2 linked regions of the Rattus norvegicus genome follow. The protein of the gene in region 2 binds, or shares a complex with, the protein of the main gene of each other region. Links are inferred from orthologs where the notes say so. Each region holds a gene or a part of one and is shown on either strand. Other genes may lie near its edges.

What was found. The genes of interacting proteins can lie anywhere in the genome.
Region 1: Pfdn2 (region 2) and Asdurf share a complex: the UniProt entries of both Homo sapiens proteins name them as parts of the PAQosome complex. The link is inferred for Rattus norvegicus from reciprocal best matches to the Homo sapiens genes PFDN2 and ASDURF.

Annotation. Positions count from the first base shown.
Region 1 is NC_086027.1:55,624,051-55,630,553, forward strand, and holds the end of Asdurf (ASNSD1 upstream open reading frame protein), read left to right. Parts: intron 1-2,432; coding exon 2,433-2,508; intron 2,509-3,846; coding exon 3,847-3,926; 3' UTR 3,927-3,938; downstream 3,939-6,503.
Region 2 is NC_086031.1:86,302,878-86,309,566, forward strand, and holds the start of Pfdn2 (prefoldin subunit 2), read left to right. Parts: upstream 1-2,950; 5' UTR 2,951-2,960; coding exon 2,961-3,035; intron 3,036-6,689. Other genes in the region: Nit1 (deaminated glutathione amidase), read right to left, coding at 1-14, 689-814, 949-1,082, 1,292-1,395, 1,500-1,757, 2,154-2,249, 2,817-2,818. UniProt on the Homo sapiens protein: Binds specifically to cytosolic chaperonin (c-CPN) and transfers target proteins to it. Binds to nascent polypeptide chain and promotes folding in an environment in which there are many competing pathways for nonnative proteins.

The DNA.
Region 1 (6,503 bases), on a different chromosome or scaffold from region 2:
TCTTAACACTGCTTTCATTGTGTCCCATAAGTTTGGGTATGATGTGCCTTTATTTTCATTAAATTCTAAAAAGTCTTTAACCTCTTTTTTTATTTCTTCCTTGACCAAGTTATCATTGAGCAGAGTGCTGTTCAACTTCCATGTATATGTGGGCTTTCCGTCGTTTTTGTTGTTATTGAAGGCCATCCTTAGTCCATGGTGATCTGATAGGATGCATGGGATTATTTCTGTCTTCTTGTGTATGTTGAGGCCTGTTTTGTGACCAATTATATGGTCAGTTTTAGAGAAGGTACAGCAAGGTGCTGAGAGGAAGGTATACTCTTTTGTTTTAGGATGAAGTGTTCTATTGATATCTGTCAAGTCCATTTGGTTCATAACTTCTGTTAATCTGTCTATGTCTCTGTTTAATTTTTGCTTCCATGATCGGTCCATTGATGAGAGTGGGGTGTTGAAATCTCCTGCTATTATTGTGTGAGGTACAGTGTGTGCTTTGAGCTTTAGTAAGGTGTTTGTTTGTTTGTTTTTTTAATGAATGTACGTATTCGGAGCATAGATATTTAGGATTGAGAATTCATCTTGGTAGATTTTTCCCTTGATGAATATGAAGTGTTCTTAATTTTTTGATAACTTTTGGTTGAAAGTGGATTTTATTCGATATTAGAATGACTACTCCAGCTTGTTTCTTAGACCATTTACTTGGAAAGTTGTTTTCCAGACTTTTACTCTCAGGTAGTGTTTGTCTTTGTCTCTAAGATGTGTTTCCTGTATGCAGCAAAATTGGGTCCTGTTTAGGTATCCAGTCTGTTAGTCTAAGTCTTTTTATTGGGGATTGAGTCCATTGGTGTTACGATATATTAAGGAATAGTGATTTTGCTTCCTGTTATTTTGTTGTTGTTGTTAGAGTTGGAATTCTGTTTGTGTGCCTCTCTTCTTTTGGTGTCATTGCAAGGAAATAACTTTCTTGTTTTTTCTAGGGAGTAGTTTCCCTCCTTGTATTGGAGTTTTCCATCTATTATCTTTGTAGGGCTGGATTTGTAGAAAGATATTGTGTAAACTTGGTTTTGTCATGGAATATCTTGGTTTCTCCATCTATGTTAATTAAGAGTTTTGCTGGACATGCAATCTGTGTTCTCTTAGGGTCTGTACGACATCTGCCCAGGATCTTCTGGCTTTCATGGTCTCTGGTGAGAAGTCTGGTGTAATTCTCACAGTTCTACCTTTATATGTTACTTGACCTTTTCCCCTTACAGCTTTTAAAATCCCTTCTTTGTTTTGTGCATCTGGTGTTTTGACTGTTATATGTCAGGTGGAATTTCTCTTGTGGGCCAATCTTTTTGGTGTTCTATACGTTTCTTGTATATTTATGAGCATCTCTTTCATTATGTTAGGGACGTTTTCTTCTATAATTTTATTGAAGATATTTATTGGCCCTTTAAGTTGGGAGTCTTCATTCTCTTCTGTACCTAATATTCTTAAGTTTGGTCTTATTGTGTCCTGGATTTCCTGTTTTGGGTTAAAAGATTTTTTGCATTTTACGTTATCTTTGATGGTTGTGTCGATGCTTTCTATGGTATCTTCTGCCCCTGAGATTCTCTTGTGTTCTGTTGGTGATGCTTGCATCTATGACTCCTGATCTCTTCCTTAGGTTTTCTTCTCCAGGGTTGTCTTCCTTTGTGCTTTCTTTATTGTTTCTATTTCCATTTTTTTAAAATCCTGGATGGTTTTGTCCATTTCTTCCACTTGTTTGATTGTGTCTTCCTGTAATTCTACAAGGAATTTTTGTGTTTCCTCTTTAAGGGCTTCTATTTGTTTACTTGTGTTGTCCTGTATTTCTTTAAGGGAGTTATATATGTACTTTTTAAAGTCCTCTGTCATCATAAAATGTGATTTTTAAATTCAAATCTTGTTTTTCGAATGTGTTTGGACATCCAGTATTTGCTTTGGTAGGAGAAATGGGCTCTGATGATGCCAAGTCATCTTGGTTTCTGTTGCTTAGGTTCCTGTGCTTGCCTCTCACTATCAGGTTGTCTCTGGTGTTGGTTTGTCTTACTGGTTTGGCCCTCCTGTTGATCTGTGTGTCAGCACTCCTGTAGAACTGTTTCTTTCAGCTGGATCTGGGAACAGAGAGCTTTGCTCTCAGGTGTATAGGCACTCCTGGAGTCTGGCTTTCAGCTCTTTGCACAGGCAGAAATCTGAAGGGTCCTGCCCCTGGCTGCTCCTAGGTCCCTGTACCCAAGGGGCACAGATGGCACTAGGCGATTTCCTCTTGGGTCAGGAATGCAGGCAGAAAGTTTTTGTTAACTCTGAGTTCTCAGGGGTGTCTGCACTTCTGAGGGTCCAGCTCTGTCCTCCACGGGATTTGGGTGCAGGGACCTGTGGTACGGGTTCAGTTCTGCAAGTCACATTCTGATAATTGTACATTTCTTTTGCAGAAAGTATACAAGCAGCAACAGAACAGCAACATATTCTTTCTTGAAGAACGAACAAAAATGTTGTCTGAAAGCAAAAGTGAGTAGTGGTCTTTTTAGTTTTGTTTTCAGACTTATATGGAATGCTACAGAAAACCTTTTGTAAGCTTTTTGTGGGGATTCATAATGGTGCCTCAGTTAAACCCTGTTTGAATGAATGTGTGTGTGGATTTAGGGTAGTGGTCTGTTTCCAGTTAGTCTTCCAGAGATGTATACAGTGCGTTGTGTTTTGGCAGCGTGGCAGGTGGAGTATCCTTCAAGATAGGGTTTCTCTGTGTAGCCTTGGCTGTTCTGGACCTCACTCTGTGGATCAGGTTGGTCTTGAACTCAGAGATTTGCCTGCCTCTGCCTCTCAAGTGCTGAGATTAAAGGCATGCGTTGCACCACAGTCACCGGACAGATGTTCTACAGTTTTAAAAAGACTCCTCCAATATGGATGGGCTGGGATTTGGATTGTCTTGATCTTGGGCAGGAAGCCATGGCTGCAGAGAGTTCATGTTCATAACAATCCTATCATGTCTGGAAAACACTGTCTTGCAGCCATTCTCCCAATCTCTTGTTATGATGGTCTTTCTGTTCCCTTTTATTCATGAGCTTCGGGTGTGATACAAATGTCCAGTTCAGAGTTGAGTACTCCACAGTCACTGATGATCCACACTGCCCCAGTTGTGGTCTCTGAACTAACTGCCATCCACTGCCAATGTCGCTCCTGGTAGATAGCCCATACCCCAGTAGAAGGAGATATGGAATGAGAAGTAGAAAGTGGCTATGATCTAAATATATCATAAATCAGTATGAAATTCTCAAGGAATAAAAATTATGAGTTTAGTTATTAGTAAAGTAGTCATATATATTTTAAGAGGTTGAGAGAAATATGAAAATCATACAATTTTGTGACTTTCAGGGGTAATACTTTGAGCCTCTAAAGCAGCAGTTCTCAACCCGTAGGTCAGTACCCTTTTGGGGGTCACAAATCAGATATCCTGCATGTTAGATATTTATATTACAATTCATAACAGTAGTAAAATTACAGTTACGAAGTATCTGCGAAATTTGGTTGGGGTCACCACGACATGAGGAACTGATTAAAGGGTCGCAGCATTAGGAAGGTTAAGAACCACTGCTCTAAGATCTTGAAGTATTTAAATTATATATGTAAAGTGTTTAGCCAAGTGATTAGATAAAATGTGTACCCAGTGGAAAGAAACTATTACCAAAATATCAGCATTGTCTGTCACTAAAGCATTGTGAATTATGGCTGGCTTTTGTACAGTGCATCTCATATGGTTTAATCTTGAGAAGTAGCCTGTTTTGTTCATGAAATAATAGGTAAATATTTTTGAACTTTCACTTCAATATTTTTTCTCACTCTCAACAGATAAATTAGACGAACTAAGAAAAGATTACCAAGAAGTAGAAAACTCAGAGACAACCAAAGTCAAGACACAGTCAGCCTGACTTCACATAACCATGTGTGGCATTTGCTGTTCTGTGAGTTTCTCTGTTGAGCACTTCAGTAAAGATTTAAAAGAGGATTTGCTGTATAATCTCAGACGGCGGGGCCCTAGTAGCAGCAGACAGTTATTAAAATCTGCTGTTAACTATCAGTGTTTATTTTCTGGTCATGTTCTTCATTTAAGAGGTGTTTTGACTGCCCAACCTGTGGAAGATGAATGTGGCAATGTGTTCTTATGGAATGGAGAAGTTTTTAATGGAGTACAGGTTGAAGCAGAAGATAATGATACCCAGGTCATGTTCAGTAGCCTTTCTGCCTGTAAGAATGAGTCTGAAATACTGTCGCTCTTCTCTAAAGTGCACGGCCCGTGGTCGTTTATATATTACCAGGCCTCCAGCCATTGCTTGTGGTTTGGCAGGGACGTGTTTGGCCGCCGTAGCTTGCTTTGGCAGTTTAGTAACCTGGGCAAGAGTTTCTGCCTCTCTTCAGTTGGTGCCCAGATATCCGGAGGAGCAGACCAGTGGCAAGAAGTTCCAGCATCTGGAATCTTCCAAATTGATCTCAATTCTGCTGCTGTTTCCAGATGTGTGATCTTAAAATTATATCCTTGGAAATCTATTTCTAAGGAGAATGTTGCTGAAGAATGTGCTAATGAGCTGACTCAGACTCCAGCAGAATTGCCAGAGTTTGTATCAGTGGTAATAAATAAAGCCAACTTGTACCTCTCAAAACCCATTGTCCCCTTAAACAAGACGCTGCCTGAGGTACCCTTGGAGACCCAATGTAGAAACAGTTCCAGCGTTCCAGGGTCAAGAGAGACACTTGAGATACTTCTTAGAGATGAACACACACAAAGAATAGTTCAGCAGTTCATTGACGTCCTCAGTGTTGCAGTCAAGAGACGCACCTTATGTTTAGCTAGGGAAGAAAACTTGGCATCAAAGGACGTTTTAAAAACTTGTGGTAAGAAAGCAAACATTGCGATCCTGTTTTCCGGAGGTGTTGATTCTATGGTGATCGCAGCCCTTGCTGATCGTCACATTCCTTTAGACGAGCCAATTGACCTTCTGAATGTGGCTTTTTTACCTAAACAAAAGGCAGGGCTGCCTATTCCTAACGTAGAAAGAAACCAGCAAAACCACTGTGAGATCCCTCCTGAAGAGTCCTCTCCGAGCACTGCTGTGCCTCAGGGTCCACATGACGCCGAGGTGCCAGATCGAGTCACAGGAAAAGCAGGACTGAAGGAACTACAGTCTGTCAACCCTTCTCGAACTTGGAATTTTGTGGAAATTAATGTTTCTCTTGAAGAATTACAAAAACTAAGAAGAGCTCGAATATGTCACTTAGTTCAGCCATCGGACACAGTTCTGGATGATAGTATTGGCTGTGCTGTCTGGTTTGCATCTAGAGGAATCGGTTGGTTGGTGACCGAGGATGCTGTGCAGTCTTACAAGAGCAGTGCAAAGGTATGTTCCAAAGGACTGCTGCTCATAATTTCTGAGACCTCATTTTGATATTTAAGGTTTATAAATACACTGTATTACAGTTACACTTTATCGTACTGTGTATTTGTTTTACTATTTTCTGACTTGTAGTTTTCCTCCTTTAGCCTGAGAAAATAGAACTTGTTTTCTTTATCCTCTTGTCATGTCTCTGGCTCTTTTTCCTCTTCTGTAGGTGATTCTCACTGGGATTGGTGCAGATGAGCAGTTGGCAGGTTATTCCCGTCATCGTGCCCGCTTTCAGTCTCTTGGCCTAGAAGGATTGAATGAGGAAATAGCAATGGAATTGGGTCGCATTTCTTCTAGAAACCTTGGTCGTGATGATAGAGTTATTGCTGATCATGGAAAGGAAGCAAGGTAACTCATTACTAAATGTTTTTTTTTTTAAAAATGTAAAAGGAAGCTTTACATTTTCCCTTGGAGATTGGTATCATGCAAAGCAGGAGAGCAGACCACTCTCTCTACTTTACATTATAAACATGGTCGAGAGCAAAACCGATGGAGCCGGGGAACTGCGTTTCCTCATTAAGTAACTTTGTAAAGTTACGTTGTAAAGTCATGGAATAGGTAGTTCTTTTCAGGACCACAATGAACACAGGACTGTCCAAGGGGCAATCACAGGCAGTTTAAGGGTTTTCTTTTGTCCCACAAACCTATAATAAGTTTCTCCTCCAGTACTGTAGAATCTGGTTTTGTCTCTGTAGGCGTAGTGATCTATAGAGGCCCCAGTCCTAGATTTCTGCCTATTGAATGGTTTTTTGAACGTGCTTTAGTACTGTTACAGATGGTGTAGAATCTTCAGAGACCCAGGCACTTTCGTGTATGCTTTTTAAATCTTGGGTTTATTTTTATCTACAACATACATCTGATGATAATAAAGACATACTTAAGTGCAGCATTTTTAAATATTAAGGATAAAGGAAGATGTGATAGTATGAAGAGTTGAACTCTGGACCTGGGTATCGTAGTTTACATTCATCAGACAGAGTCAGGAAAATTATGGCAAAGATACTCTGAAAAACCTTGGGAATTATTTCTTGCTATCATAGACAACTGATTTATTTAGATTTTAGAGTA
Region 2 (6,689 bases):
GCCCGCAGCAGCACCTGAGGATGAGACGTGCGTACTCAGGAACATACAGCATTTAATAGGCGAGTGACAAGAAGCGGACACTGTGGGCCCAATCTACTCATTGACTATTGATCAACTAGAATTAGTAACTAACTATAACATGACTCACACCTATCTAAGAAACGAATTTCCTCACCAGATCGGAAGGGAAGAAAATCCTTCAAGTAGAAGGGGAGGGGTGTGTTTGTGTTTTGTATTTTTTTATATAAGGTCTCCTTGTATAACCTTGGTTGGCCTGGACCCACAGAGATCTGCCGGCCTCTGCCTTACAGTGCGGAGATAAAAAGCACACACCACCATGCACCACTATTTTGGGTGGTGTGGGTTACTTTTGTTTTGTTTTGTTTTGTTTTGTTTTGAGACGGTTTCTCTGTGTAGCCCTGGCTGTCCTGGAACCTACTCTGTAGACCAGGCTGGTCTTGAACTCAGATCCACTTGCTTCTGCCTCCTGAGGGCTGGGATTAAAGGTGTGCACCCCCACTGCCCAGCTTCTATTTTGTTTTCTGTTTTACTCGAGGCATCACTATGCTGGCTTTGAACCTGTGGCTATCCCCTGAAGTGCTTAGAGTTTAGGTTTGTGCTACTCTGTCCCCACTACTAAAAATAAGATTAAAGGAGGCCTATATGTTATGAAGAGGCATTCTCCTACCTCCCAGTGGGCTGGGCCGGTAACAGATCCAAAGGCTGAAGGATAAGTAAGTATTTCTGCCCCAGCTTGAGCCAATTTCAGAGAAAGTTCAGGGAACCGCATGTCATAACAGATTGCTAGACCAACCTGAAACGAGAAACAACCCACTCATCTTCCCTGTCCTGGTCAACGTAACATTGAATACTACCTCCATCATCCTACACCAAAGGGAGATGTTACAACTTTTTCAACATATTCCTATTTTCTTTTCAAACTCCTACCTTGCCTGCTGGTGTCTTGACAGGTGGTTCAAGAGCGTATCCAGGCATGGTATAGTTGCTTTCTCTCATAGGCCCCTGACCTGGGATCTCTACATCACATAGATGTGTCTTCCTGTAACTGGCCACTACTGATCCTAAAGTAAGAGAAAATGCTCAGTACAGACACTGGAAGTCCAGCTTAGCTCTTCTCCCAAAGAGTAATTTTTAGGCTAAGAACAGAAGCATTCAAAACAAAACAAAAAAACCCCTAAAGCCAAGCAGTTGAGAAAAATGCTGAAGATCTGAGTTGGAAGAAGGTAGATGAGCCTAGGAAGAGGCAAGCTGAAGGACTGTGAAGTCTCACCCTTGCTGTTCAGAAGCACATGACAATTGTAGATTTTCTGAGTCTGCTCCCAGTCTTGGCCACGCTCGTGGAAACCACCCAAGGACAGCCAGATTCCACATTCCCTGAGGGGGAGGGACACTGACAACTCTACCCCCTCTATGTGGCAATCCAGGAACACTGCCCAACAGGGATTCTACCCCTCCCCACCCCCACCCTACCCTTGTACCTGGCAAGCTGGCTATATTGTCCCAAAAGGTCCCCATCCAGTGGTTCGGACAGGAGTAATGTCTCGGCAGGATTTCGTGCAATAAAGTCAAATGCCTCAGGCAGAAAGGCCAGGCAAGCGCCCAGTCTGGTAGCCTCTTGAACCAGCTCAGCACACGTTTTAAAGTTCTCTTGCTTGTTTGGTGTTGATGTTACCTGGCACACAGCCACCAGGGGCAGCTCCCAGGAAGTCGATGAGGACTCTGCCATGGCTCTGGGCCTGTGAATGACACAGGCAGTTTTCTCAGGATTTCTACCGCGTGCCGCGGAGAAACTTGGGAGGCTCAAGTGGGGGTGGAGCCGGAAACTTACTTTTTTTTTTTCTGATTTTACCTCCCCTTTGAGACCGGGTCTTTTTGTAGCCCAGGCAGACCTTTCTATGTAGCGGGGATGATCTTAAACTCCTAGTTGATCCTCCTGCCTGTTTCCCGAGTGCTGGGATTAGAGGTGTGTCCCACCAACCCTAGCGACTTGTTTTCATTCTTCCAGAGCATTAAATAACCCTAAGCTACTGGAGTACACGCATTAAATGTTTGGTGGATGGCAGGTCCACTATTCGGTTAATAAACATGGACTTAGCAACTACGTGCTAGACAAAGAACATAAAATATGTTACCTGGGCTGAGTACAAAGTACTGAGATTTGAGGTAATCGGTATCCGGTACACAGAAGGGACAGGAGTTGATGAGGAGGCCTGGTGATGAAGCCCAGCCTGAAGAAGGTGAAAAATCAGGACACCTAACCCTCCTTCAAGCTGTAAGTTTCTAGAATTCTCTGCCATTTCCAGACCTGGCCAGTAATCCCCTCCCCCAAGGCTTCGAAAACACTTTACTACTAGTAGTTATGAGATCATAAAATGGGAAAATGGAAGAGGACACTATGATCGGTGCCTTAATACCTCAACTTCCAGTGATCTCACATTAAAACTGAAGCCCTTTTCCTCTGCCAAACGTTTCCGCAGTTCAAGTCATCTCATGGAACCTTCCTCGTTTCCCCAATTCTCTCTTCTCGGCTGTGCCACCTGGACAGCTTTATAGACTCAACATGTATCTTTCCCCTTGTACCAGAATCTCAGAAGGAAAGTTCACCCTCCTTAGATCTCCACCATTCTCGTGGTGGGTAGGTAGATGGGTACAAGATCAGATCCCAACCCGAGCCCCCGCCCTCTGATTAGCGCGTCCTTCCCCGGCTCTCCCCGGGGCAAGAATCTCTGTTGCACAAGTTAAAGCATAGCAGGTGGAATTCACCGCAGCAGGCAGGGTTGGGGAGTAGGTCCTACATGAAGACACAGCCAAAACCATTCGCAGGGTCGGATCTGAAGAGCTGCCAGAAGCCAGAAGCGCAGGAGCAAGTGGGCGGTAACCACTAGAGCGGATGTGACGCAGTGGGAGTGCGCAGGCCGGAAAGCTTGCAGGTGGGGAAGATGGCGGACAGCAGCGGTCGTGTGGGCAAGAGCGGCGGGAGTGGCACGGGGAAGGGGGCGGTGTCGGCGGAACAGGTGAGGAACCGCGAGCGTAGAAGGCACCTGGGTCGGTGTCGAGTTCGTGCAAGGAAAAGGACTTGTGATTCAGAGGGGCCTTTAGTCCTTCCCACGTTCTCCGTGGTCACGCACAGGGGAGAGGGCGTTTTTGGGGGTGATCACAATCCTTTCTAGGGCGTGAGTAGGTGGGGTAGGTAGGTGAGAGGCACGCCCGGGGTGTGGGTGGGTAGTCGAGAGAGAAAGCTCTTAGATGCAGGATCTGGGAGGGTTGTCCAGGTCCCTAAGGACATGGATCGTCGTCTCCCCCTCTACGAGGTACCCTAAAGAGAATATGGTGTTTGAAGTGTCATCTAGTAACGAATCCCAGGCTGTTCTTAGTCAGTGAGTGGGTTATTTAGTCTTTGACTCCAAAACCGTGTTCACCATCACAAACACGCTGCAGAGCCACGTGACTCAGACTCTGACCAGTTTAGTGTTCAGTAACTATTTGGACTAAGGAGACTGTGGCTTAGTTATTTTCTTGTTTTGTTTTGTTTTTGTTTTGTCTTGGGGTGGGGATGAGGGTTGCTATAGGGTCGGGCTGGGTCGCTCTATGTAGCCTTGCTTTTCTGGAATTCACTATGTAGACCAAGCTGGCCTGGAACTCACAGAGATTCGCTTGTTTCTGCCTCCCAAATACTGGGATTATCTGGGACTACTATTCCTGGCTCGGGTTGTTTTCGTTTTTTGAGACATGGTCCAGCTCACTCTCTATGCTCCCTTCTGCAGAGACTTAAGTTTTCAGAAGAGGCTAGAAACCATTTTCTAATGCAGGTGTGATTCTGCTCTTCATAACATCGGGATACATCTGACGAATTAATCAGAAAGCCCTTTGTGGTATAGGGACCATGTTTTGTTAGTCTTGGGACTAGTGTTTAATTGATATTAGAAGAACACACAATTGGGGTTGGGGATTTAGTTTAGCTCAGTGGTAGAGCGCTTGCCTAGGAAGCGCAAGGCCCTGGGTTCGGTCCCCAGCTCCGAAAAAAAGAACCAAAAAAAAAAAAAAAAAAGAAGAAGAAGAACACACAATCGAAATGAAAATAGTTGAAGCTAGGGGTGTAGTTTGGTGGGTTAAATGGGAAAGCCTTGAGGTGTGGGGTCTGGGTGGGTGTCTGTTCTCACCTGGTATGGAGGTCCAGGGTTGGGATTGAAGAGCTATTTTAATCATATATTTGTCAGTTGCTTGTTGAGCAATCACTGCAGGTAAAAGTATCAGCATAGGGACTGGAGTGGTGGCTCAGCCGTTAAGAGCACTGACTGCTCTTCCATGGGTCCTGGGTTCAAATCCCAGAAACCACATGGTGACTCCCAACCATCTGTAATGAGATCTGATGCCTTCTGGTGTGTCTGAGGATAGCTACAGTGTACTTATATATAATAAATAAATACATCTTTAAAAAAAAGTATCAGCAGAAATAGTTTAAAACCCATACTGTTGGAGAGCATCGTCTGTTGAAGTGGGGTTTACAGTTCTACTATGAGTCGGAAAGTAAGTATTCAAAGAGAAGTGACATTCTGGGGATGGAAGAGGCACCTTGACAGTGGGAAAGAAAAAAAGTAAAGCTTTTGAGAGTCTGTCTTGTGTTATACTTTGCTTAACACAGAGAAACAGGTAAGTGAAATAGACTTTATCTTAAATTTGGACACAGCCAAGTGTGATGGCTCATACCCATAATCCCAATGGGTTACCCTCTCAGTTCCAGGCTAGCCTAGGTTACAGAGTGAAACACAATCTCAAAAACAAACAAGACAGACAGAATGGCAAATAAAAATGAAACAACGAGACTTCAAAAATATGTTATGTATATTTGCATGTCTGAGTGTGTGCATGTACCACACCTGTGCAGGAGCCATTGGAGGCCAGAAGAGGGGTCCAAGCCCCTGATAACTGCTTATTAGCTACCATGTGGGTCTTGAGAACCAAACCCAGGCCTTCTGCTATAGAAGTAACAGTTCTTCCACCGAGCCATTGCTCCAGTCCTTACACCAAAAACTTCTGCACATGATTTCTCTTCTTACTTTTTACCCTCCTCTATCTGTGAAAACATGTACTTCCCATTTCATAACTATTTAGTGTACTAGGCAAGAAAATTCATTCGACACCCTCCCCCCCCATCACCATGACTAAAAAACAGAGACTACAGAGTGTGTTGACTAAATGCTAGTTAGGGGTGGAGAGATGGCTTCTGCACTTGAGCACCTCATCTCACACAAACACATACATACATGCACATGATCTGAACAATCTTTCTAAATGCTAATTTGTTTTTATTTTCTAGAGGATTCTTCAGCTTAATTCTAAAGGCTGAGGAAAGTTAGTCAATGTGAGGATTTTTTTTTTTCGTTAGAAGAAATGTGTTCATAAGCCTTGAGCCATGAACTGCCCGGCCTTGGAAATGCTGGAAGATTTAAAAGAGCTGTATTGCAAGACTTGAAGAAGACACAGTCAGCCTTGTTGTTCTTTGACACAAGTTTTTTTCATGTGGCCTAGAACTCACCAGCCAGGCTAGGATGGCTGGCCAGAGAGTCCATTGACCCTCTCTTCCCCAGCACTTGGATAACAAGCCTCAGAATTTAAGTTCCCTAGCATTCCATTGCCAGGCAGTTCATGCCTCAATACCATACCTCCCCCACCCCCCAAGTTCTCAAACTCTGGTTCTTTGGTTCTTTACCTGTGGAACTTTTCTTCCCAATTTAAGTGTTTGTCACTGATACAAATTCAAGCCTGATGTGACTTTCACAAGGAAGATAGGAGCAGGTCATACTTTCTACTAGGCCCTTGTTTTATTTTCGGTTTATCCTATTTCTATTTATTGTTTATTGGTTTGCTGCTGTTTTATCTGAGAGAGGATCTCCCTCTGTAGCCCTGGCTAGCCTGGAACTTGCTATGTAGACCATGCTAGTCTAGGGCTTGTGGCATTCTTCCTGCTTTGATCTCCCAGGTGTACCACAGCACTTGGAGGAGTGAGTGCGCGCGCGTGTGCGCGTGCATGTGCGCGTGTGCGCGTGCATGTGTGCGTGTGCATGTGTGCGCATGTGCCAGCCAGCCACCCACATGCGTGCCTGGTGACCTTGGACTGTGGGGGTCAGAGCATTGGATCCTCTGGAGTTAGAGACAGTGATAGTTATGGGTTTCCATGTAGGTGCAGAGCCACAAGTGCTGCTGAGCCATCTCTTTAGCTCCCCCAAATCGAGACACATAAACATTATGTACACACATATAATAATGAACTAAACAACTGAAAAGCCCTGCTGCAAAGTAGATTGTGATGTACACGCCTGTAAGAGATCCCCTGTATTTGGGGGAGAGGTAGAGAGGCAGGATTAGGAGTTCAAGTTCGGGGTTGGGGATTTAGCTCAGTGGTAGAGCGCTTGCCTAGCAACCGCAAGGCCCTGGGTTCAGTCCCCAGCTCCGGGAAAAAAAAAAAAAAAAAAAAAAAAAAAGAAAAAAGGAGTTCAAGTTCATCCTCAACTAAATAGCATATTTGAGGCCAGTGTGAATCTCAAAAAGACAAGAAAATTCCTGTCACTTGTCAAAGTTCAACAGGTGTTTCGAAGAGGACAGAGCCTACTCAAACACTGCTTTATACCCCTTACCCTCCAAACTCATGACCTTATAATGTAAAATAC